Ovis aries: one gene and its partners. Each later gene encodes a partner of the first gene's protein in a complex. Links are inferred from orthologs where the notes say so. Each region holds a gene or a part of one and is shown on either strand. Other genes may lie near its edges.

The links. The genes of interacting proteins can lie anywhere in the genome.
Region 2: TBP (region 1) and TAF1B share a complex: the UniProt entries of both Homo sapiens proteins name them as parts of the transcription factor SL1/TIF-IB complex. The link is inferred for Ovis aries from reciprocal best matches to the Homo sapiens genes TBP and TAF1B.
Region 3: TBP (region 1) and transcription initiation factor TFIID subunit 9-like share a complex: the UniProt entries of both Homo sapiens proteins name them as parts of the TFIID basal transcription factor complex. The link is inferred for Ovis aries from reciprocal best matches to the Homo sapiens genes TBP and TAF9.

What each region holds. Positions count from the first base shown.
Region 1 is NC_056061.1:91,742,218-91,750,044, forward strand, and holds part of TBP (TATA-box-binding protein), read left to right. Parts: intron 1-119; exon of another isoform or gene 120-122; 5' UTR 123-269; coding exon 270-323; intron 324-1,848; coding exon 1,849-2,255; intron 2,256-4,520; coding exon 4,521-4,608; intron 4,609-5,982; coding exon 5,983-6,074; intron 6,075-6,770; coding exon 6,771-6,938; intron 6,939-7,827. UniProt on the Homo sapiens protein: The TFIID basal transcription factor complex plays a major role in the initiation of RNA polymerase II (Pol II)-dependent transcription.
Region 2 is NC_056056.1:19,089,978-19,098,407, reverse strand, and holds the start of TAF1B (TATA box-binding protein-associated factor RNA polymerase I subunit B), read right to left. Parts: upstream 4,285-8,430; 5' UTR 4,237-4,284; coding exon 4,219-4,236; intron 3,166-4,218; exon of another isoform or gene 3,005-3,165; intron 2,559-3,004; coding exon 2,460-2,558; intron 1-2,459. UniProt on the Homo sapiens protein: Component of RNA polymerase I core factor complex that acts as a GTF2B/TFIIB-like factor and plays a key role in multiple steps during transcription initiation such as pre-initiation complex (PIC) assembly and postpolymerase recruitment events in polymerase I (Pol I) transcription.
Region 3 is NC_056065.1:58,195,908-58,203,176, forward strand, and holds transcription initiation factor TFIID subunit 9-like, read left to right. Parts: upstream 1-4,230; 5' UTR 4,231-4,368; coding exon 4,369-5,154; 3' UTR 5,155-5,285; downstream 5,286-7,269. UniProt on the Homo sapiens protein: The TFIID basal transcription factor complex plays a major role in the initiation of RNA polymerase II (Pol II)-dependent transcription.

The sequences.
Region 1 (7,827 bases):
ATGGATTCCAGGATAGCTTGATTGGGTTTTTAAATTTGTTTTTGTATAACCATGAAACTGATTTATAAGGCTGTATAGCTTACCTGTATTCTTACATTAAACTTCAAATCTTTTCAAAGCAGCACCACCGTTTCTTGGTGTCCACGAAGATAACCCATAGAGCTGAGGAAGTCGCCAAGAATAGTGTGCTGGGGATGCTCTAGGAAAAGACTGAATGCTGAGGCAATTTCTAGTCCAAAGGTTTTTGATTTGCCAAGAAGGTGAACGTCATGGATCAGAACAACAGCCTCCCACCTTATGCCCAGGGTCTGGCCTCCCCTCAGGTAATGCAACTGGAGGGAGGGTGCACGTGGACAGAATCTGCACTGTTAGAGATACTGTGAAAGGGAAGGAAGGGAATTAAGCCATCTATTGCTGAAAATGGACTTACATTTTTTAAAGTCTTCTTTATTTCATTGAGAATTTCCTTTAGATTTTTAATAGGCATGATAACGTTTAATTTGGGAAGTTTGGGAGCTAAAATATATATTTGTCTATAAGACTTAATCTTTTGATAAACACTTACGAAAGTGGTCCGAGTGATTACAGAGTGTTTGATTTTGTAAGTAACCTAATTATTTTCTAGCTTTATCTTTTCCTTTTTATGTTTAAAGTTCCAAATAACATATCTACTTTTAAAATTTTTAAATAACTTCTGTTAAATAAAAAAACCCATTTTAAGTATGTGTTTTGATAAGTGTATGCACCTTTGAAAGTTCTGAAACATTTCATTTAGCCTAAAAATCCCTCTCTGCCCCTTTACAGTTACTCCCCTGGCCCCAGGCAACAGCTGATCCACTTTCCAGACGTAGAGGCAGCTTTGCCTGTGCTAGGGTACTGTGCAGGTGGCACCCTCCCAGTCAGTGTGTGCTTTCTGTGGGTCTGTCATCTTAGCCCAGCATAATGTTTGCATATATCAGCGAATTCCTTTTCATTGCCAAGTGGCCTCTTGTGTGGATGTAGCACAGTTTGTTTTCCAGTTGCTGACCTTAGGGCTGTTTCTAGGTTGAAGCAATTGGGAGTAAAGGTGCTGTATGTGTATAGTCTTCATGTCTGCTGTGTGTTTATTTCTCTTGGGTAGATACTCAGGAATGGGATTGCTGGGTCGTTGTGTAAGTGTGTGTTTAACTTTACAAGAAAGTGCCCTGCATGCTCTCAAGTCCTGCCGCAGCATGTGAGCATTCTCGTTGCTCCACACCCTCACCAGCACTTCTGTTTTCACTTGAGTCTAAAAGTGAAAGTGTTTTCCTGTTGACTTACGATCTTGAGCATTTTGTCAACTGCTTAGTAACTGTTCATGTATCTGCATTTGTAAAATGTCCTTCACATCTTTTGTCCGTTTTTTATTGGTCTGTTTGTTCATCTTTTATTGCATTTTGATTGTTCTTTATTCTGGATACAAGTTCTTTCTCAGATGTATGTATGGTAGATGTTTTCTCCTAATCTGTGTCTTAATTTTTAATTTTCTTAATGGTATCTTTCAAAGAATGGAAATTCTCAATTTTTTCACAGTCTTAGACCATTGTTACCCTCTAGAGCCTGAAGGGTTAAGCATCTTCCTAAATTCTCACGTGTTGTTCGTTGAATTTCACAGCTAGGTCTACTTCCACACCCTAAGCTCTTACCTACTAGCTCTGTGCTACTGGGCTGCGGTGAAGAAGAAAGTGAGGGGTGTGAGATGATGGCCCAACAGCCCCATTTGTTCTCGGACGGTGCCTGTCTGCACATCTCACCTGCACTTCTGCCAGCCGAGTTCTGCAGATGCTTGACACCAGCCAGTCTAACCCATTGTTCTCTAACTGCCCACAGGGTGCCATGACTCCTGGAATCCCTATCTTTAGTCCAATGATGCCTTACGGCACAGGACTGACTCCACAGCCTATTCAGAACACCAACAGTCTGTCTATTTTGGAGGAGCAGCAACGGCAGCAGCAGCAGCAGCAGCAGCAGCAGCAGCAACAGCAGCAGCAGCAACAGCAGCAGCAGCAGCAGCAACAGCAGCAGCAGGCGGCAGTGGCAGCCGTCCAGCAGTCGACGTCCCAGCAGGCAACCCAGGGGCCCTCGGGCCAGACACCACAGCTCTTCCACTCACAGACTCTTACGACTGCACCCTTGCCGGGCACCACTCCCTTATACCCCTCCCCCATGACCCCCATGACCCCCATCACCCCTGCCACGCCAGCCTCAGAGAGCTCCGGGATCGTGCCGCAGCTGCAGTGAGTTCTCCTTGGTGCCCTGCCCCTGCCCTGGAGGGACCCCCGCAGCTGCGCTGCTGTTCTCTGCTCTCAGATGGATTGATTCACTTGTGTAGTGTTACTGGTGATCATGCATCAAAACATGCTTTATCTTACTTGAGAAAGGGAAGGGAAGCTGTCTTAGTGAGTCAGTGCCCCCAGTAAAGGTCTCTCAGGACATCTTCAGGAATTTGGTAGCTGTGCTTAGATGCTTGGGCCAGTGAAGTCCAGTTTGGATTGCATTATTGTTGTTGATATTTCACTGTAGCTGATTAACCAGATCAAGCCTTATATAGTCTCCCTCCCTTGTGGTATTATAAGTCTTTGGAAAGATTAATTGCAAAGTCACAGAATCATCATTGTTCATAGTGGTCCCTGTTTTTCTTCATTGTTTATTATAAGGGCTGCATATAAATCTTTGAGAGCTGTGTCCTTCCCACAAGCTGAGGATGGCTGTTCTTGCCCTAAATGGATCTTTCTACCTATGTGCAGTGGGTCCTGTATGTAACAGGAAAAGGGTAGGGGGACAGGTAGGGAAAATTTCTCCTCCCTGAAAAACAGATATCCTCATATCTGTCAGTAAGAATTATATAGCTTTTGCCATGAGGAAGCTTATAACCACATGAAGGGTTATTTGTAATAATACATCACCCAGTTTTCATGCCAGTCACTCCTAATCATTTTTAGAACTAAGTAATGTTTAATCATGGATCATGACTGTTACACAGAGACCTAAATCTTGCCCTGGGTGTGTGTTTGGTCTGAAACAATTTAAAAAAACAAAATAATGTTAATGATTTTAGAAAGATAAGCACTTACTAGTTCACCTTTGAAAATACCATATGCTGTTGTCTTGCACAGTTACCTGGCTCCTATGCCCATTTAAGTTTGCACCTTTGGTTTAAATTGTAATTTATACCCAGTTCAGATGGGTGTTTATTTCTTGCCAGCACCTTAATATTTCTGGTATTCCACAAAGCATCCCCCAAAGTTCACAGAATTGTGGAAATTAAATAACATACTTTTAAACAGCCAGTGGATCAGAGATCACAGGGGCAATTAGAAAATAGTTAAGACAAATAAAAATGAAAATACTGTATAGGGCTTCCCAAGTGGTGCTAGTGGTATAAAGAATTGCCTGCCAGTGCAAGAGGTGCAAGAGATGTGGTTGGATCCCTGGGTCAGGAAGATCCTCTGGAGTAAGAAATGCAACCCACTCCAGTATTCTTGCTTGGAAAATTCCACGGGCAGAGAAGCCTGATAGACTTAATGGAAGCCTGATGGAGCACGGAACATATTTGGGATGCAGCAAATATGGTGCTGAGGGTGAGATTTATAGCTGCAAAGGATCACATTAAAAAAAATATTTCAAAGCAATAACATTACAACTAGAAAAAGAGCAAACTAAACCAAAAACTGTAAGAAGGAAGGAAATAATGATTAGAGCAGAGATAGATGAAATAGAGACAAAGAAAACACTAGAGAAAATCAATGAAACAAAAGATTGGTTCTTTGAAAAAATCAACATGTAGTTAGACTAACAAAAAGTGAAGACTCAGAGTGCTAAAATCAGAAAGGACAGTAGGGATGTTGCTACCGATTCTATGAAGTAAATAGATAAAGTTATGGGAACTTGTGTATATAAAATTGATTAGAAGAAAACAGATGTATAAAAATGTTAAAAATGAAAAGGGAGTTTTTGTCTCCCGCCTGCGATGCTGTGAGGCGCAGGCGCCTCAGCACAGTTACGGAGGGGCTGCTCCGGAATACCAGTTGCCCCCTGACATCAGGGGGAGCAACTGGGCGGGGTGGGGGGCCCCCAAAGAGAGGAGAAAGAGTTAAAAAAGTTCATTGGACCTATGTAATAAATATCAGTGTCTGGTTTTCTTGATCTACTGAGCGTTAATTGGAAGAAAAAGGTTTCCTTCCTTTGTCAGAGATAATTTAATTTTTGTTTGTCCAAGATACTTATTTTGAAAGAAGGTATATACATGCCTCACTTAGGCATGTATATACAGAGCAGTTTCTTCATCTGAAGATGGCAGTATTAATAGTTATTACTTCATAGTGTATTGTGAGTACTAAGTGAGGTTATCTTTGTATTATGTTGGCATGGTGTTTGGTACTTGTTTGAACACTTAATGTCAGCAATTAAAAAATTTGTTTAATTAAAAAAAATTAGGAAAGATTGTGTTTTTTAGATAACTAACAGTAAATAATCATGTTTTCTTTTCAAATTTTTTACAGAAATATTGTATCCACAGTGAATCTTGGTTGTAAACTTGACCTAAAGACCATTGCACTTCGTGCCCGAAATGCTGAGTATAATCCCAAGGTCAGAACAATTGTATCAAACCACAGTGATAACAGAATTTTCTTCCAGAGGTCTTTCGATTAAAAAGAATATGTTGTGTTTAAGTTTGTTGACACCAACCAAACAAGAATTTAAAGCAAAATATGTAGCGTTTTTGTTGAATAACTGCCAAGTAAGAGACTGTCAGAATACAGCAGTCCACAGGATAAAGTCTCATACTTACTGTGAGGGGATCATGCACAGTTACTGAACAAAGTATGTAGTGTGGTCCCATTTGCATTTTGAAAACTATGTAGAATAGAATGCCAGGCTACTTGGAATTTACTTCAGAATAATGCAATTGGAGAATTGGGAAAGGGGCATTTGAATGAGACAAGATTAGCCAAAAACTAGTAATTGTTAAAGTTGGATAATAAGCACAAGGAAGTTTAATATATTTTTCTACCTTTGTATAACTGCCAAGTTTTTTTTTTTAAATAAAAAGATTAAGAAGAAAATACCTACAAATTTTCAGATTTTAAGATAGCAACCTAATGCATATGGCAAATCTGTATGAGTATAGCATTATAAGAATTAACCTTTTGTCTATCATAATTTTATTAAGTTGAATACATAATTTTACATTTTTTTTTTTTTCTAATGAAATGATAGTAGTTATCCAACCAGTAAAACTGGTTAAAGGAATTTAGGAAATGTAAAAAACTATAGAAGGAATTTAGAAAATGCTAAATAATTAGACATTTCCTGGGACTTGTATAAACTAGAATATAATGCTACCATTTTTACATGGTGGTAAAGTTAGAAGGAAGACAGATCATAGTTTTTAAATTAAAATTGTTAAAGCTATCTAACTTATCAGAGTCATCTTCATTAGAAATATGTGAATTTTTATGTGTACTTAGGTAGCAGATATCACATTTTTAGAGAAGCCACTGCATTTGTATAAATGCCAGTAAAGCAGTGCAGTTTCTAAGAGTCTACGGGAATGGGGAGGTCGCTTCACTGTGTGCTGATGTGCTTGTAATCTGATATATTCCTTCTGGAGGTGGAAAGGTTTGTAAGTTGATTTGCCTAAAAAATCATTAATAAAACAGAAAATTCACAGGTAAAGTTTTGCAGATATTATTTATCTTCAGTTGTTGGGATGTCATGACAGAATCCAAAACTCTTGGCCCAGCTGCCTCTGTCGTCACAGTTGACGTGTTTGTTTCCTATGCAAAAGCATGTGTGCCACGTGGCGATGGAAGGGAGTCCTGTAAGGAAACACGTGACAGGTGTCGTAACTGGCTCAGCACCAGGTCCCTCTCGTTGTCTGGGATGCTCCTGTTGTTGTGTAGGTCTCCTGATGGAAGTCAGCAGTCTGACCTCATTAACTGTTGTCTCTGGCTGTTCCAGCGGTTTGCAGCTGTCATCATGAGAATAAGAGAGCCCCGCACCACCGCACTGATATTCAGCTCTGGGAAGATGGTGTGCACGGGAGCCAAGAGGTGGGTTAGAGGAGCTCCTTGTCCAGGCCTGCATGTTACAGAGACGGCTGTGCCATGGCATCTAGGGCTAGGCTGCTGCTTTAATGCAGACACAGTGTTACTGTTGCTTTCGTATTAAAGTAGTTGATTCTCATCACCTTAGACAGTGGCGGCTTCATTTTCTTAACAATAGGCGTTAGTTTAGGACGTGTGTTCCAACCTTATTTCTGTGTAACTCAGCGTGTGTACGTGCCAGACTTTCGGCATTCGTGACTGTGCACTTGATAGCCTTTTGTCAACAATGATGCTACGGCTTTCATTCTGCTTTTGTTACAGAAGCCCTGCACTGCTAAGTCATATTTTATCCAACAAGTCAGTTCTAGGAATGGATAAAGAAGGACATACCATAAAAGAGGAATTAGTGTATACATTCTTTGAGCATAAATCTCATCAGTATTTTCCTATCAAAGTGACGCTTGTTGGTTTTTATCTTAGTACAAATTTGTGGGCTTAAATACAGCAATATTCATGATAATGGTGATGCTGATATTATACTTCATATCCATGAAATCTGGGGCTATCAATAATTTGGTGACTTGAAAGGTACTCGTTTTGGTAGGCCTGCAGTTTTCTGTCAAGGACGTGGGAAAGTTTCTCTCGTCTAAATAATTGCGTCAGCTGTCTTTGAGAATGAATAGCTCGCTTTTTCTTCCCTAGTGAAGAACAGTCTAGACTAGCAGCAAGAAAGTATGCCAGAGTTGTACAGAAGTTGGGCTTTCCAGCTAAGTTCCTGGACTTCAAGATTCAGAACATGGTGGGGAGCTGTGATGTGAAGTTCCCTATAAGGTTAGAAGGCCTTGTGCTAACCCACCAACAATTCAGTAGGTAAGTCTGAAATACATGGGGTGGTTGCTTTTGTCAACAATTTAAAGTTATGATCTATTTAAACATTGTTCATGGTAAAACTTAAGCAGAATAATCAGTTCAGTTCAGTTCAGTCGCTCAGTCGTATCCGACTCTTTGCGACCCCGTGAATTGCAGCATGCCAGGCCTCCCTGTCCAACTCCCGGAGTCCACTCAGACTCACGTCCATCAAGTCGGTGATGCCATCCAGCCATCTCATCCTCTGTCGTCCCCTTCTCCTCCTGCCCCCAATCCCTCCCAGCATCAGAGTCTTTTCCATTGAATAATTAGTAAGAACAAATGATACACTGATAGGTACATTTATTGCTGAAGTGTCTTCCCGATTTCTTTGGTAGTACCTACTGTGCTCACCAGCCTCCTACTTCTCTATCTTGTAACTCAGTGACACCCAGAACTCCCCTTTACTGGCATGAAATTGATTCCCTTCTGTATGTTTCATCATTTTATTGCTCAATAAATACATTTTAAATGAACAAATGAAACCCACAACCTCTTGTATCAGTTTTCCCCCCAGTTGTTTGAGTCTTTTGTTCTACTTCCTGAAGAAGACTTCAAAGGCAGGTGGTCCTTGATCACCTCTCACAGCCTGTCTGCTCACAGCAGCCCCATGGCTTATCATGTCCCTCTTGCACCAGGACCCTTGCACATCCCACTTTTATCCCTGGCACACTCTTCTGTCACTTTTTACCTAAGAAACTCCCACTGGCATTTCATGTATCCATCCCAGCGTCTCCCTTCCTCAGAGAAGCCTGCCTTGAATTTTCCAGTAAGTTAAACACGGTCATACATCCTGTTTTCCATCTAACAAAGTGAGATTACTAGGGTTAGAACAAAATCGTACCAATAGTGC
Region 2 (8,430 bases), on another chromosome or scaffold:
TTACCTTCAACTTTCATTAAGAATAAAAGAAATGTCTCTTAACAACAGGATTTGTGGAACACATTCTCTCTGTACTCCACAGAAACCACATTCAAAGCTGTTCTGGTGGATGGGGTTGGCCACACTGAGAACATAAGACACTTCAGAACACACACCAGAGCAATTACCCAACAAAAAAAGGTAAAACCTATAAAGAGTGGGGGTGGGGGGGATAGCGGGGGAAGGCTTAAAATAAGAATTAGACAAAATGCAAAATAACTAAAAGCTAAAAAAAGCTAAATACCCAGACTGAAGCTGTAACTACAGAATGGTTTTACTGTGGACTATTTATACAGTTAATTAACACATTCACACAAGATTGGGGGTACTCACCCATATCCCCTTGCCCCTCTCATATACAGACAGTCTCTCATATGAAAGACTAAATGGAAGCTACTGAAATGTATGTTGAGCTCACTGGTGATTGTAGCTTTCACCTTCATCATTTCTACATTTTCTACAGTAAATCTGTTCTTATGATCATATAAATCTGTTAAACTCACATGATCTTCGCTTATACCTTTATTAAATACCCATAAAATACTTGCAAGAATGTCTATACATAGACCAGATTTAAGACCTGAAAATATTTTTCCTGTATAAAGTCAATCAAGATAACATTCTAATTCCTTTATCAATTCAGAAGGCCTTCCTTCAGATGATGGGTATCTAGAAAATGAAAATTACATACAAGAGTAAGTTGAGGGGCAATGAAAGGAGCAGAAAAACACGGAAAGCTGTACCACAACCTCCACTCTCCATAGGTGTAACCACAGCTCACCGGCCATTTCCCACCAGGTGGATTTAAACATTGGCACACCAAGCCCACACCAGTCATGTCCTTTTCTATCTAAAGAACGTGCCATAAAGCCAAGAGAACCACTGAGGTTGTGCAACACACAGCTCTGTCTATCACACGGGAGGCACTGAGATAGGTTCTGGGCCTATAGGAAGATGGTGCCCACCGTCCAGAAGGCTCCACTCTTGACAGGTTATTCCATACAAAGCTGGTACCTTTCAAATGTGGAAATACTGGTATTAGGACCTTTCAAGTTAAAAACTGACTGCAGCAGATTTTATCAGACAGAAATAAATAGAAATACTATCAAAGACAAATAAAAGAAAGCAATTAGTTAATGTATTAATAGTTTAATTTCTCCAAAGAAAGTATACGCTGTCTTCATCTGCTAATGACAGTCCATTATACACATCTTGCTTCACCATGTTTACATTTGCACTGCTGGTACAAAACCAAAAACTGTTAATGCCTCAACAAACATCAAAGCAAAGGACCAAACTGTGCATATTTAAAGTGTATGATCTGATGTGTGTGTATGTATATCCGTGAAACCATCACCACAAACGAAGTAATGAACATATCATCGCCCCAACAATTTCATCCAGTGAGTTCATATCTTATAAATACTGTGAGTGAGCAAATGGGAAGCAGAATGAAGAACAATGACTGTCTCAGTGATAGTTGCAAGCTAAATTAACCACTTTTCTCAAAAAAGTCCCAGAGGACTACAGGGCAAAGATAATAAACATATCTGCTCTTCCTGGCTCTGTAGAGTTTGAGCAAATCCTCTTCCGGAGAGAAAAGTCCTGGTGTGTTTAGCCCACCCAACAGCAGGCTGTCCACACTCTGGATTATTTGGTTATGTTGTTCTGTCCTGAGGGTTGTGGTGACGAGAAGAGGACCTAGCATTTCCTGTGTGAATGCAGTCCCATTTACCAAGGACCCACAGGACAGGATGTCAGCCTCTGTCCTAAGAGGCAGATGTGGTAAAATAAAATGAACACTGGAGTCAGAAGCCTCAGGTTCAAATCCTGCCTCAACACTATCTAGCCATGAGACTTTGGCAAACTCACCTGATGAGGCCCACTTGCCCTACCTGTAGACAGGCATAATAGTGTATCTCACACATTGTAAAGAGGAGGAAATGAATGAATGGATAAGAAAACACTCACGATGTGTAAGGCATTGTGCAAAGACATAAAGATAACAATGTATATTTCCAGTACTCACGACAGTCCTCTAACATTGTATATTCCAAACCTCCATGCTATCATGGCACATTAAAAACTCTTAAATAAGTACTAACTAATGAAAAGAAATTTATCATCGTCCAAGTGCAAGTTTAATTATTTCCCCTTATAAATATACCATACAGTCTGAATCAGGAAAACACTTATATTTATGGCCCAAGATAGTTTCAGAAGCTCATCCTAAATCTCATTCAAAGTCTTTAACCCTTGTGTCAGTACTTGAGGACGACTTACATTCTCGGTATTTGGGCACTGCTTAGTAATAAAAATAGATCAATTTGGCGGGGGTGGGGGGGTACTATGCCATACATTAGGCTGACATTGCAATTTTTAAAGCACAAGCAAATTCATAAATGAGACTTGTTACTTACTTCTGTAACATTGTGGCAAGAAGTGCAATAATATTTGCCTTCATCAGTAAGACCCCAAGAAACAGCGGCACACTGAGAACAGCGCTCTCTGAACTCTCTCTGTGGGAGAAAAGGAACGTCATATTTAACACACTGCACCTAAACCCTGCCGTTCTACCTAAAGGTTTCCCTGCAATTTTACTCTATCAGTAAAGAATCACTGAAAATAGAAAACATACCAGAGACTATTATCTACAAACAAGGAGAACAGCAGTTCAGTCTGAGCAGTTTGAAACAGAATTAAACTAAAACACGCAGTGTGTGGGAAGGGGAAGAAAAAAGATGGTAGCGGTAAAGTGGGGGGTGGGGGAAGATGAGTAAATAAAACTTGAAAATGCTGTGAGGAAAAAAGATGAGATTTAAGTATAGAGAAGACATAAACAGCATACCATTTGGAACTTCCTCCAGGACACTAAGAACACATAACCCAACACAAAGGAACCAGAGTTTTATTACAGTTATTTCAAGTTTCCATTTGTTCATTCAGCAATCCAAGGAGTACCTACTATGTATACACTTAACTAAGTGCTGGAGATGTGACGTTGAGCAAAACAGACAAGAGCCCCACTCCTAACTCTACAGGTTCATGGTAAGTTCGAGTTGTTCATTTCATTAACCAAGTATCTACACACCGTTAACCATCATTCAAGAGACATTTATCGAGCACCTACAATGAGAAAAGCCTTCTATCACCATGATGCTTCTGTACATACATAGACTGGCAGTGAATAATTAATTCTCAGCTCTTCGGTGTGTGAAATCTTATTATCATTGATCTAATTACCCAATATTCCTCTAACACCATCAGTTCAGTTCAGTTCAGTCCCTCAGTCTGACTTTGCAACCCCATGGACTGCAGCATGCCAGGCCTCCCTGTCCATCACCAACTCTTGGAGTTTACTCAAATTCATGTCTATTGAGTCGGTGATGCCATCCAACCATCTCATCCTCTGTCCTCCACTTCTCCTCCCGCCTTGGATCTTTCCCAGCATCAGGGTCTTTTCAAATGAGTCAGTTCTTTGCATCAGGTGGCCAAAGTATTGGAGTTTCAGCTTCAGCATCAGTCCTTCCAATGAATATTCAGGACTGATTTCCTTTAGGATGGACTGGTTGGATCTCCGCGCAGTCCAAAGGACTCTCATCAAAGACTGGCAAAACGCACGGCTAATTGATTTAAAAAGCAGGTCAAGTTTTCAGGGACCCTATACTGGTAACTAGTGAAATCTTGGCCGTGCCCTCACACCCGAATTTGGCCCTCCCTACGCAAGGCTGAGACGAGGATTCCCAAAGACTAGGTGCTGGGAGATGTGACGTTACTTGGGGCTACAGGGGTTACTTGGGGGGCATTCGGGTTCCAGCCCCAGGCCTCCCTCGCCCAACCTCCAGCATCAAAGGGAACTTGCGGGTGGTCCAGTCTAGAGGAGGTGAGCCACGAGGGCGGCCACCTCACAAAACCCACAAGTTCATCCTCCCTCTAAAACACACCCCCTTCGATCAACACCTCACCCCGTCTCCACTCACAACCTCAGCCAGCCAGGGGCTCCAGCCTGTCTCCCCCACCACGCCGGTACCCGCGGCCCGCCAGCTCCATCCCTTTCTGACCCGCCCCACTTCGAGACCAGAGCGCCTCCACGGCCGGCAGGCGTCCTTCAGCGCCTGCTCCTCAGCCTCACGGCCCTCCCGCCCCGTCGCCTGCTCGCGCGGCAGCCGGACTTCTCACCGTCTCCTCCAGGTCCATAACGGCGCTTCAGCCGCTTCAGCCGCCGGGACCCGTTACCCGGGCAGCGAGCGCAGCTTCCGGGAGCGGCGGGAAGAGCCCTCCGGGCGGAAACCCAGACTCTTGACTCTGGATTTCCGTCCCCTACAGCCGCAGGGAAGCCTCCGCGAGCGGTGGGAGGAAGCTCCGCTAATCCGGCATCCCTCCCAGAAAGCATCCCGTTCCTACTCTAGGAACCCGAGCCAATCAGTTAAAAAAAAAAGGTGGGCGGCGCCTACTGCTGAGCGGATTCAGTCTTTTCCGACAGCTGGTGAGAAATGCGAAAAATGAAATGCAAAAAGGCGAAATGGTTGTCTGAGGAGGCCTTCCTTACAAATAGCTGAGAAAAGAAGAGAAGCTAAAGGCAAAGGAGAAAAGGAGAGTTATACCCACCTGAATGCAGAGTTCCAAAGAATAGCAAGGAGACGTAAGAAAGCCTTCCTCAGTGGTCAGTGCAAACAAATCCAGGAATACAACAGAATGGGAAAGACTAGAGATCTCTGCAAGAAAATTAGAGATACCAAGGGAAATTTTCATGCAAAGATGGACACAATAAAAGACAGAAATAGTATGGAGCTAACAGAGGCAGAATATATTAAGAAGAGGTGGCAAGAATACACAGAACTATACAAAAAAGATCTTCATGACCCAGATAATCACGATGGTATGATCACTCACCTAGAGGCAGACATCCTGGAATGTGAAGTCAAGTGGGCCTTAGGGAAGCATTACAAACAAAGCTAGTGAAGGTGATGGAATTCCAGTTGAGCTATTTCAAATCCTAAATGATGACACTGTGAAAGTGCTGCACTCAGTATGCCAGCAAATTTGGAAAACTCAGCAGTGGCCACAGGACTGGAAAAGCTCAGTTCATTCCAATCCCAAAGAAAGGCAATGCAAAGGATGTTCAAACTACCACACAATTGCACTGATCTCACATGCTAGCAAACTAATGCTCAAAATTCTCCAGGCCAGGCTTCAGCAATACGTGAACCGTGAACTTCCAGATATTCAAGCTGGTTTTAGAAAAGGTAGAGGAACCAGAGATCAAATTGCCAACATCCGCTGGATCTTCGAAAAAGCAAGAGAGTTCCAGAAAAACATCTGCTTCTGCTTTATTGACTATGCCAAGGCCTTTGACTGTGTGGATCACAACAAACTGTGGAAAATTCTGAAAGAGATGGGAATACCAGACCACCTGACCTGCCTCTTGAGAAATCTGTATGCAGGTCAAGAAGCAACAGTTAGAACTGGACATGGAACAACAAACTGGTTCCAAATTGGGAAAGGAGTACGTCAAGGCTGTATATTGTCACCCTGCTTATTTAACTTATGTTCAGAGTACATCATGCAAAATGCCAGGCTGGAAGAAGCACAAGCTGGAATCAAGATTGCAGGGAGAAATATCACTAACCTCAGATATGTAGATGACACCACCTTTATGGCAGAAAGTGAAGAACTAAAGAGCCTCTTGATGAAAGTGAAAGAGGAGAGTGAAAAAGTTGACTTTAAAACTCAGCATTCAGAAAACTAGGATCATGGCATCCAGTTCAATCACTTCATGGCAAATAGATGGGGAAATAATGGAAACAGTGAGAGACTTTATTTTGGGGGTCTCTAAAACCACTGCACATGGTGACTGCAACCTTAAAATTAAAAGATGCTTGCTCCTTGGAAGAAAAGCTTTAACCAACCTAGATAACATATTAAAAAGTAGAGACATTACTTTGCCAACAAAGGTCCATCTCATCAAAGCTGTGGTTTTTCCAGTAGTCATGTATGGATGTGAGGGTTGGACTATAAAGAAAGCTAAGGGCCAAAGAATTGATGCTTTTGAACTGTGGTGTTAGAGAAGACTCTTGAGAGTCGCTTGGACTGCAAGGAGATCCAACCAATCAATCCTAAAGGAAATCAGTCCGAATATTCATTAGAAAGACTGGTGTTGAAGCTGAAACTCCAGTATTTTGGCCACCTGATGTGAAGAGCTGACTTATTGGAAAAGACCCTGATGCTGGGAAAGATAGAAGGCAGGAGGAGAAGGGGACGACAGAGGATGAGATGGTTGGATGGCATTACCAACTCATGGACGTGAGTTTGAGTAAGCTCTGGGAGCTGGTGATGGACAGGGAAGCCTGGTGTGCTGCAGTCCATGGGCTCACAAGGAGCTGGACATGACTGAGCGACTGAACTGAACTGAACTGACAGCTGATCTCTCCTGGCTATACTCTAAGTATGTGGGCTGCGAGGGGTGCCATGGCTTGTACCCTGAACCCTCTGGATTCTCCACCTACTTGCGGCTTTTCACAGCACAGGAGAGGTGCCAGGTTCTGGAGGAAAGAACACATTGTTGAATTACACCTGGGTTTCTTATCACAGCTTTTCTGTGCCTCCCCTGTAAAAATTAGCTACTATCCATGAGTCCCTTGCAAGGGATCCTCGCATGGTAAATACTTATTAAATTTAGTTTCATTGTTGTCCCTTCATTGAACACATTCATTTCACTAAACAGGTGCTGTTTTAGGTCTTGAGGATTCAGTAGTGAGCCCAGTAAAGAAATATTCCTGCTTTTATGGAGATTATAATCTAGTGGGGAGAGAAAAAATAAATAAGGAAAATATATGGTATATTAAATGGGCATGATTGCCAAGGAGGGAAAAATAAAACAGGTAAAGGAGAATGGGAGCCATAAGGCGGTTTCAATTTTAAATGGAGCGGTCAACAGTATAAATGGAGTAGTCAACAGTATGAACACCAAGGGATGGGACAAAGAAGGATGGGACAAATTGGGAGACTGGGGTTGGCATATTGATACGCTATTGATACTAAGTCTAAGTGTAAATAGATAACTAATGAGAACCTACTGCATAGATCAGGGAACCTTACTCAGTGCTCTGTGGTGACCTAAATGGGAAGGAAATCCAAAAAAAAAGAGGGATGGGCTACACGTACATGGTATACCTATAGCTAATTCACTTCACTGTACAATAGAAACTAACACAGCCCTGTAAAGCAACCGTACCAGTAAAAGTTAATTAAAAAAAATAAGTGAAGTGGTCAAGAAAGGTCTCACTGAGAAGGTGACCTATGAGGCAAGGGAGTAAGAACCATGCTGGGAATATCATTCCCAGCAGAGGGAACAGCGAGGACCAGGGCTCTAGTCTTGAGTTTCATTTCAGGATCAGCAAGGAGGTCAGCCAGTGGCTGGAATGGTGAACTAAAGGGAGAGCAGAAAATGAGAAGGGGGCAAAATCCAGTTATAAGGGCTTAGAGACACTGTATGAGCAGGTGGAGGATTTCTATCTGACATGTTTAAAAGGTCAGTCTGGCTATTGTGGGGCTTCCCCAGCGGCTCAGACAGTAAAGAATCTTCCTGCAATGCAGGAGACATGGATTCATCCCTGGGTCAGGAAGATTCCCTGGAGGAGGAACTGGAAACCCACTCCAGTATTCTTGCCTGGAAAATTCCATGGACAGAGGAGCCTAGCAGGCTCCAGTCCATGGGGTCACAAAGAGTTAGACACGACTAAATAACCAACACTGGCTGTTGTGAGGAGAATGGACTGCCAGGGGTAAAGGCAGAAGCTGGGAGGCAAGTCAGGAGACTATCAAAATAATCCTGGTTGCTTGAACCAGGTGAAAGCAGGGGAGACAGTGAGAAGTAGACATGGAAATGTGTATTTTGAAGGTGGAACCATAAGGATAACTTGATGGACAAAAAGTTCATCAAGCAGCTATAGAGGAAGAAGGTGGTCAAGTATGACTTCAAGATTTTTGTCCTGAGCACCTGGAAGAGTGAAGATATATTTGACAGGGTAGGGGCAGGCTATGGCTGAAAGAGTTTGGGAGGAGGTAAAGGAGGAATTAGGAACTTGATCTTTGGCATATGAAGTTAGAGATGCTCATAAGATGTGCAGGTCAGATGAGAAGGCAATTGGATGTAGGAGTCTAGCATTCAGAAGCAAGTTCTGGTCTGAAGATATATTCTTGGGTGTGCTTTCTGCTTAGATGGTATTTAAAGTCATGAGAGTAGGTAAGATCACCAAGGGAATAGCTCTGTATTCGCTCACTCCTTCTTCACTGGTCAATTCATTTCTTTCCCAAAGTCATTAAACACCACTGTGTGTCAGGGCACTGTGTCAGGAATTGGGAAATGACAGATAAACAGGACCAAGTTCC
Region 3 (7,269 bases), on another chromosome or scaffold:
GGAGAAGGGAATGGCAAGCCACTTCAGTATTTTTGCCTTGAGAACCACATGAACAGTATGAAAAGGCAAAATGATAGGATACCAAAGAGGAACTCCCCAGGTCATTAGGTGCCCAATATGCTACTGGAGATCAGTGGAGAAATCACTCCAGAAGGAATGAAGGGATGGAGCCAAAGCAAAAACAATACCCAGCTGTGGATGTGACTGGTGAGAGAAGCAAGGTCCGATGCTGTAAAGAGCAATATCGCATAGGAACCTGGAATGTCAGGTCCATGAATCAAGGCAAATTAGAAGTGGTCAAACAAGAGATGGCAAGAGTGAAACTCGACATTCTAGGAATCAGTGAACTAAAATGGACTGGAATGGGTGAATTTAACTCAGATGACCATTATATCTACTACTGTGGGCAGGAATCCCTCAGAAGAAATGGAGTAGCCATCATGGTCAACAAAAGAGTCCAAAATGCAGTACTTGGATGCAATCTCAAAAATGACAGAATGATCTCTGTTCATTTCCAAGGCAAACCATTCAATATCACGGTAATCCAAGTCTGTGCCCCAACCAGTAACACTGAAGAAGCTGAAGTTGAACGGTTCTATGAAGACCTACAAGACCTTTTAGAACTAACACCCAAAAAAGATGTCCTTTTCATTATAGGGGACTGGAATGCAAAAGTAGGAAGTCAAGAAACCCCTGGAGTAACAGGCAAATTTGGCCTTGGAATGTGGAATGAAGCAGGGGAAAGGCTAATAGAGTTTTGCCAAGAAAACGCACTAGTCATAGCAAACATCCTCTTCAACAACACAAGAGAAGACTACACATGGACATCATCAGATGGTCAACACCAAAATCAGACTGATTATATTCTTTGCACCCAAAGATGGTGAAGCTCTATACAGTCAACAAAAAAAACCAGGAGCTGACTGTGGCTCAGATCATGAACCCCTTATTGCCAAATTCAGACTTAAATTGAAGAAAGTAGGGAAAACCGCTAGACCATTCAGCTATGACCTAAATCAAATCCCTTATGATTATACAGTGGAAGTGAGAAATAGATTCTAGGGACTAGATCTGATAGACAGAGTGCCTGATGAACTATGGATGGAGGTTTGTGACATTGTACAGGAGATTGGATCAGGACCATCCCCATGGAAAAGAAATGTCAAAAAGCAAAATGGCTCTCTGAGGAGGCCTTACAAATAGCTGTGAAAAGGAGAGAGGCGAAAAGCAAAGGAGAAAAGGAAAGATATAAGCATATGAATGCAGAGTTCCAAAGAATAGCAAGAAGAGATAAGAAAGCCTTCTTCAGTGATCAATGCAAAGAAATAGAGGAAAACAACATAATGGGAAAGACTAGAGATCTCTTCAAGAAAACTAGAGATACCAAGGGAACATTTCATGCAAAGATGGGCTCGATAAAGGACAGAAATGGTCTGGACCTAACAGAAGCAGAAGATATTAAGAAGAGGTGGCAAGAATACACTGAAGAACTGCACAAAAAAGATCTTCACGACCCAGATAATCACGATGGTGTGATCACTCATCTAGAGCCAGACATCCTGGAATGTGAAGTCAAGTGGGCCTTAGAAAGCATCACTATGAACAAAGCTAGTGGAGGTGATCGAATTCCAGTTGAGCTAGTTCAAATCCTGAAAGACGATGCTGGGAAAGTGCTACACTCAATATGCCAGCAAATTTGGAAAACTCAGCAGTGGCCACAGGACTGGAAAAGGTCAGTTTTCATTCCAATTGCAAAGGAAAGGCAATGCCAAAGAATGCTCAAACTACCACAAGATTGCACTCATCTCACACGCTAGTAAAGAAATGCTCAAAATTCTCCAAGCCAGGCTTCAGCAATACGTGAACTGTGGACTTCCTGATGTTCAAGCTGGTTTTAGAAAAGGCAGAGGAACCAGAGATCAAATTGCCAACATCCGCTGGATCATGGAAAAAGCAACAGACTTCCAGAAAAACATCTATTTCTGCTTTATTGACTATGCCAAAACCTTTCACTGTGTGGATCACAATAAAGTGTTGAAAATTCTGAAAGAGATGGGAATACCAGACCACCTGAGCTGCCTTTTGAGAAATCTGCATGCAGGTCAGGAAGCAACAGTTAGAACTGGACATGGAACAACAGACTGGTTCCAAATAGGAAAAGGAGTATATCAAGGCTGTGTATTGTCACCCTGCTTATTTAACTTATTTGCAGAGTACATCATGAGAAACACTGGACTGGAAGAAACACAAGCTGGAATCAAGAATGCCAGGAGAAATATCAATGACACCACCCTTATGGCAGAAAGTGAAGAGGAGCTAAAAGCCTCTTGATGAAAGAGAAAGAGGAGAGTGAAAAAGTTGGCTTAAAGCTCAACATTCAGAAAATGAAGATCATGGCATCTGGTCCCATCACTTCATGGGAAATAGATGGGAAACAGTGGAAACAGTGTCAGACTTTATTTTGGGGGGCTTCAAAATTACTGCAGATGGTGACTGCAGCCATGAAATTAAAAGACACTTACTCCTTGGAAGAAAAGTTATGACCAACCTAGATAGCATATTCAAAAGCAGATATATTACTTTGCCGACTAAGGTCCATCAAGGCTATGGTTTTTCCAGTAGTCATGTATGGATGTGAGAGTTGGACTGTGAAGAAGGCTGAGCGCTGAAGAATTGTTGCATTTGAACTGTGGTTTTGGAGAAGACTCTTGAGAGTCCCTTGGACTGCAAGGAGATCCAACCAGTCCATTCTGAAGGAGATCAGCCCTGGGATTTCTTTGGAAGGAATGATGCTAAAGCTTAAACTCCAGTCCTTTGGCCAGCTGATGCGAAGAGCTGATTCATTGGAAAAGACTTTGATTCTGGGAGGGATTGGGGGCAGGAGGAGAAGGGGACGACAGAGGATGAGATGGCTGGATGGCATCACTGACTCGATGGACATGAGTCTGAGTGAACTCCGGAATTTGGTGATGGACAGGGAGGCCTGGCATGCTGCGATTCTTGGGGTCTCAAAGGGTTGGACATGACTTAGCGACTGAATGAACTGAGCTGAACTGATGCTGAAGCTTCAATAATCTGCCTACCTGATGTGAAGAGCCAACTCTTTGGAGAAGACTCTAATGCTGAGAAAGATTGAAGGCCGGAGGAGAAAAAGGTGACAGAGGATGAAATGGTTGGATAGCATCACTTACTCAATGGAGATGAGTTGAACAAGCTCTGGGAGATAGTGAAGTACAGGGAACCCTGTTGTCCTGCAGTCTACGTGGTTGCAAAGAGTCAGACATGACTTAGCGACTGAATAACAATAACAACAATGTAGTATTTGGTTACTATTGACCTTCTGATGACACCTCAAAAGGAGGCATATCCACTTTATGTGATCCCAGATCACTGAGACATGATGATGTGGATGGCTGGATATCTAGAGCAGACAATGTCAATCACTAAGGATCCTCAGAGGGATGAAGCAGGACAGCAAAAGATTTCATCACATTCCTTGGAATGGCAAAGAATTTAAATGTGAATTGTTTGTTTCTGGAATTCTCGTTTGATATTTTCAGACTGTGGTTGACCACAGGTAAGTGAAACTCTGGAAATAAAAACTGTGGATAAGAGGAAACAACTGTATATAAAATATGATATATATTGCAGTATATTGCAGTTCCTTGGACTGCAAGGATATCTCACCTGTCAATCCTAAAGGAATATTCACTGGATAGACTGATGCTGATGCTGAAACTCCAATGCTTTGGCCACCTGATGCAAAGAGCCGACTCATTGGAAAAGATCCTGATGCTGAGAAAGATTGAAGGTGGGAGGAGAAGAGGATGACAGAGGATGAGATGGCTGGATGGCATCACTGACACAATGGACATGAGTTTGAGTAGGCTCCTGGAGTTGGTGATGGACAGGGAATCCTGGCATACTGAAGTCCATGGGGTCGCAAAAAGTCAGACACGACTGAATGACTGAACTGAGCTGATATTGCAGTAAAAACGGATGAATACAAGAATATTTTCTTTATCAAAGATAAAAAGCATGATCGATATGCTAGGAACTGTTTCCTAAGTTATTTCCTATATTAACATGTTTAACTGATATATAAAAATACAGTGAAATATTGAAGTATTATTACCTCCATTTTGCATAATGAATTATTATTAGCTCCATTATTACCTCCACTGGGTATAGAGAATGTGTATAAAAACCTAATTTAAAAAAAAAAAAGCGATGTTGCTTCCGAACATCCTGCTCACCGGTACACCAGGGGTTGAAAAAACTACATTAGGCAAAGAACTTGCATCAAGATCAGGACTGAAATACGTTAATGTGGGTGATTTAGCTCGAGAAGTTTGATCACCGGATATCATGGAGTCTGGCAAGATGGCTTCTCCCAAGAGCATGCCGAAAGATGCACAGATGATGGCACAAATCCTGAAGGATATGGGGATTACAGAATATGAACCAAGAGTTATAAATCAGATGTTGGAGTTTGCCTTCCGATATGTAACCACAATTCTAGATGATGCCAAAATTTATTCAAGTCATGCTAAGAAAGCTACTGTTGACGCAGATGATGTGCGGTTGGCAATCCAGTGTCGTGCTGACCAGTCTTTCACCTCTCCTCCACCAAGAGATTTTTTATTAGATATTGCAAGGCAAAGAAATCAAACCCCTTTGCCATTGATCAAGCCATACTCAGGTCCTAGATTGCCACCTGATAGGTATTGCTTGACTGCTCCAAATTATAGACTGAAGTCTTTACAAAAAAAGGCATCTACTTCTGCAGGAAGAATAACGGTTCCACGGTTAAGCGTTGGTTCAGTTACTAGCAGACCAAGTACTCCCACGCTTGGCACACCAACCCCACAAGCCATGTCTGTTTCAACTAAAGTAGGGACTCCAGTGTCCCTCACAGGGCAAAGGTTCACAGTACAGATGCCCACTTCACAGTCCCCAGCTGTAAAAGCATCAATTCCTGCAACATCAGCTGTTCAGAATGTTCTAATTAATCCGTCATTAATTGGGTCCAAAAATATTCTTATTACCACTAACATGGTCTCATCACAAAATACTGCCAATGAAACATCAAACACATTGAAAAGGAAACATGATGACGATGATGACGACGACGATGACTATGATAACTTGTAATCTAGCCTTGACGCATGTAACTTGTATACTTGGTTTTGAATCTGTTGTACTGAGATTAAACATGCATGCTGGATATTTCCATGTTGTGTTCTAGAAAGAATAGTATTTAATGAGTAAATATGCTTACCATACTTTTTGATTGAGCTGTTGTGTTAGATTTTCTTTGATAGGATTAGTAATGGTTTCTCGTCACCCTTTAAGTGTAAAAAATAAAGTTGCAATTCGTGCATTTAAAAAAAAAAAAAGCAAATCCAGAAGACTGCATATAGAAGACTGCATACAGAATGCTACCTTATTTTACTAAAACTAAAAATCAAACAATGCTCAAGATTATGTTATTTAGGAATATATATGCAAGAAAAAATTTTCCAAGAATGGGTGTATTATATGGTTAAAAATTAAGAGAGTAATTATCTCCAGGAGATTAGCAGACCTACAGATGGGTGATAGCTTTGAAAGTATTAGCAATGGTCTAGCTCTTATGACTTTCCCGGCGGCTCAGAGAGTAAAGCGTCTGCCTACAAAGTGGGAGACCTGGGTTCAATCCCTGGGTTGGGAAGACATCCTGGAGAAGGAAATGGCAACCAACTCCAGTATTCTTGCCTGGAAAATCCCATGGATGGAGGAACCTGGTAGGCTACAGTCTACAGGGTTGCAAAGAGTTGGACACGACTGAGTGACATTTACTAATATTACTTTAGCTCTTATGACAGGTGGTAGATTCATAGTTGATGATTACAAGATGATGCTTCATAACTTTTATAGGCATTATATATAGTTTTACTTATACCAAAATTATACTTTAAGAAGTTTAGCACCTGCATTTTGTGATATTTAGATTAACTGTTCAGGGGCTATTTTTCTTATTTCCTGGTTTCCAGCTACAGTGCTTAAGAGATAGGATTACTAGGTAGCTGACTTCTAGAGCAGCAAACAAAATTATAACTTTTTTTTCTTTTCAGTCTGGGTAGTCATTCTAAACATAAATCAGTTTCAAAATAATGCTTATAAAAGAATAAATGGTCCCACTAAATGCAAAAAACAATTTGACCACTGAGAAATATGTTAACAGCTTTCTCAAATCAATATGCCAACATTATTGTAATTTCTGAATAATGGTAATAAAAACAACACTTCCAGATAGAGCTCTAACATGTAAAAAGTTGTGAAGCTATCAAACCTGTCCTTAAGACAAGAAAACATTTTATAAACTAAAACCAGTGACTTTTGTTGAACAACAGAAAACTGAATTTGTAGGGTTAATTGTTGCTCCACAGTCTGGACATGCAGGCACATTCAGAGAGACAGAAGATCTGCTTACCTGGAGCAGAAGCTGATGAAGCAACAGATAAGAGCACTTAAATAGTAATTTTGATGAACTGTTGATAGTGTGGACTAGTATAAGAGGAAATTCTGGAGATCACAGTCTAAGGGGTTCAGTACTTGTTCCATGCAGCTCACCAAGTTCTCACTGTGAAGATTCGAGAATACCTTATGGCTCTGGCAGGGCTGGGGATAGAAGAGAAATCACTGCAAAATGCATTCAGAGCACTTTCCATCAGGAAGACCTAAACTCCAGGGGAAAAGACTTTACCAAATCCTTCCCCAGCTGGGAAAGAACATTTCTCCCACTGTGCCTTTCTCTATCCTTCCCATTACATTTTAAAAGTGAACAACATCTATATCATTGGAAAAATATTTGTAACAGTCACAGACTAGAACCACAAGCCTAAACCAAGATTTAGTCACAGAAATATAAAATTCTTTCTTTCCCCTACATCTGGCCACTATACCAGGGATCCAGAGTACAGTGAATTACAGATGAAAGATGTAGACTCTGTCTGCAGAAGAGTGAGATGGGAGTTCAAAAATAAAAGGAGAGATAATAACAAGAACACTGGAGGAATTTGAAGTCTCTGGTAACTACAGTACCAGCTAACATTGAACACAAACTTATAGCCAGATTAACATAAATTCTCACACTAATGACATCTAGACTTCACTACTAGTTACTTAATACATGTACATCTTTCAACAAAAAGCTGTAAGACATTAGAAAGAAAGAAAGAGGGAAAGGAGAAGGAAGAAAAGAAAAGGGAGGGAAGGGAGGGAAGG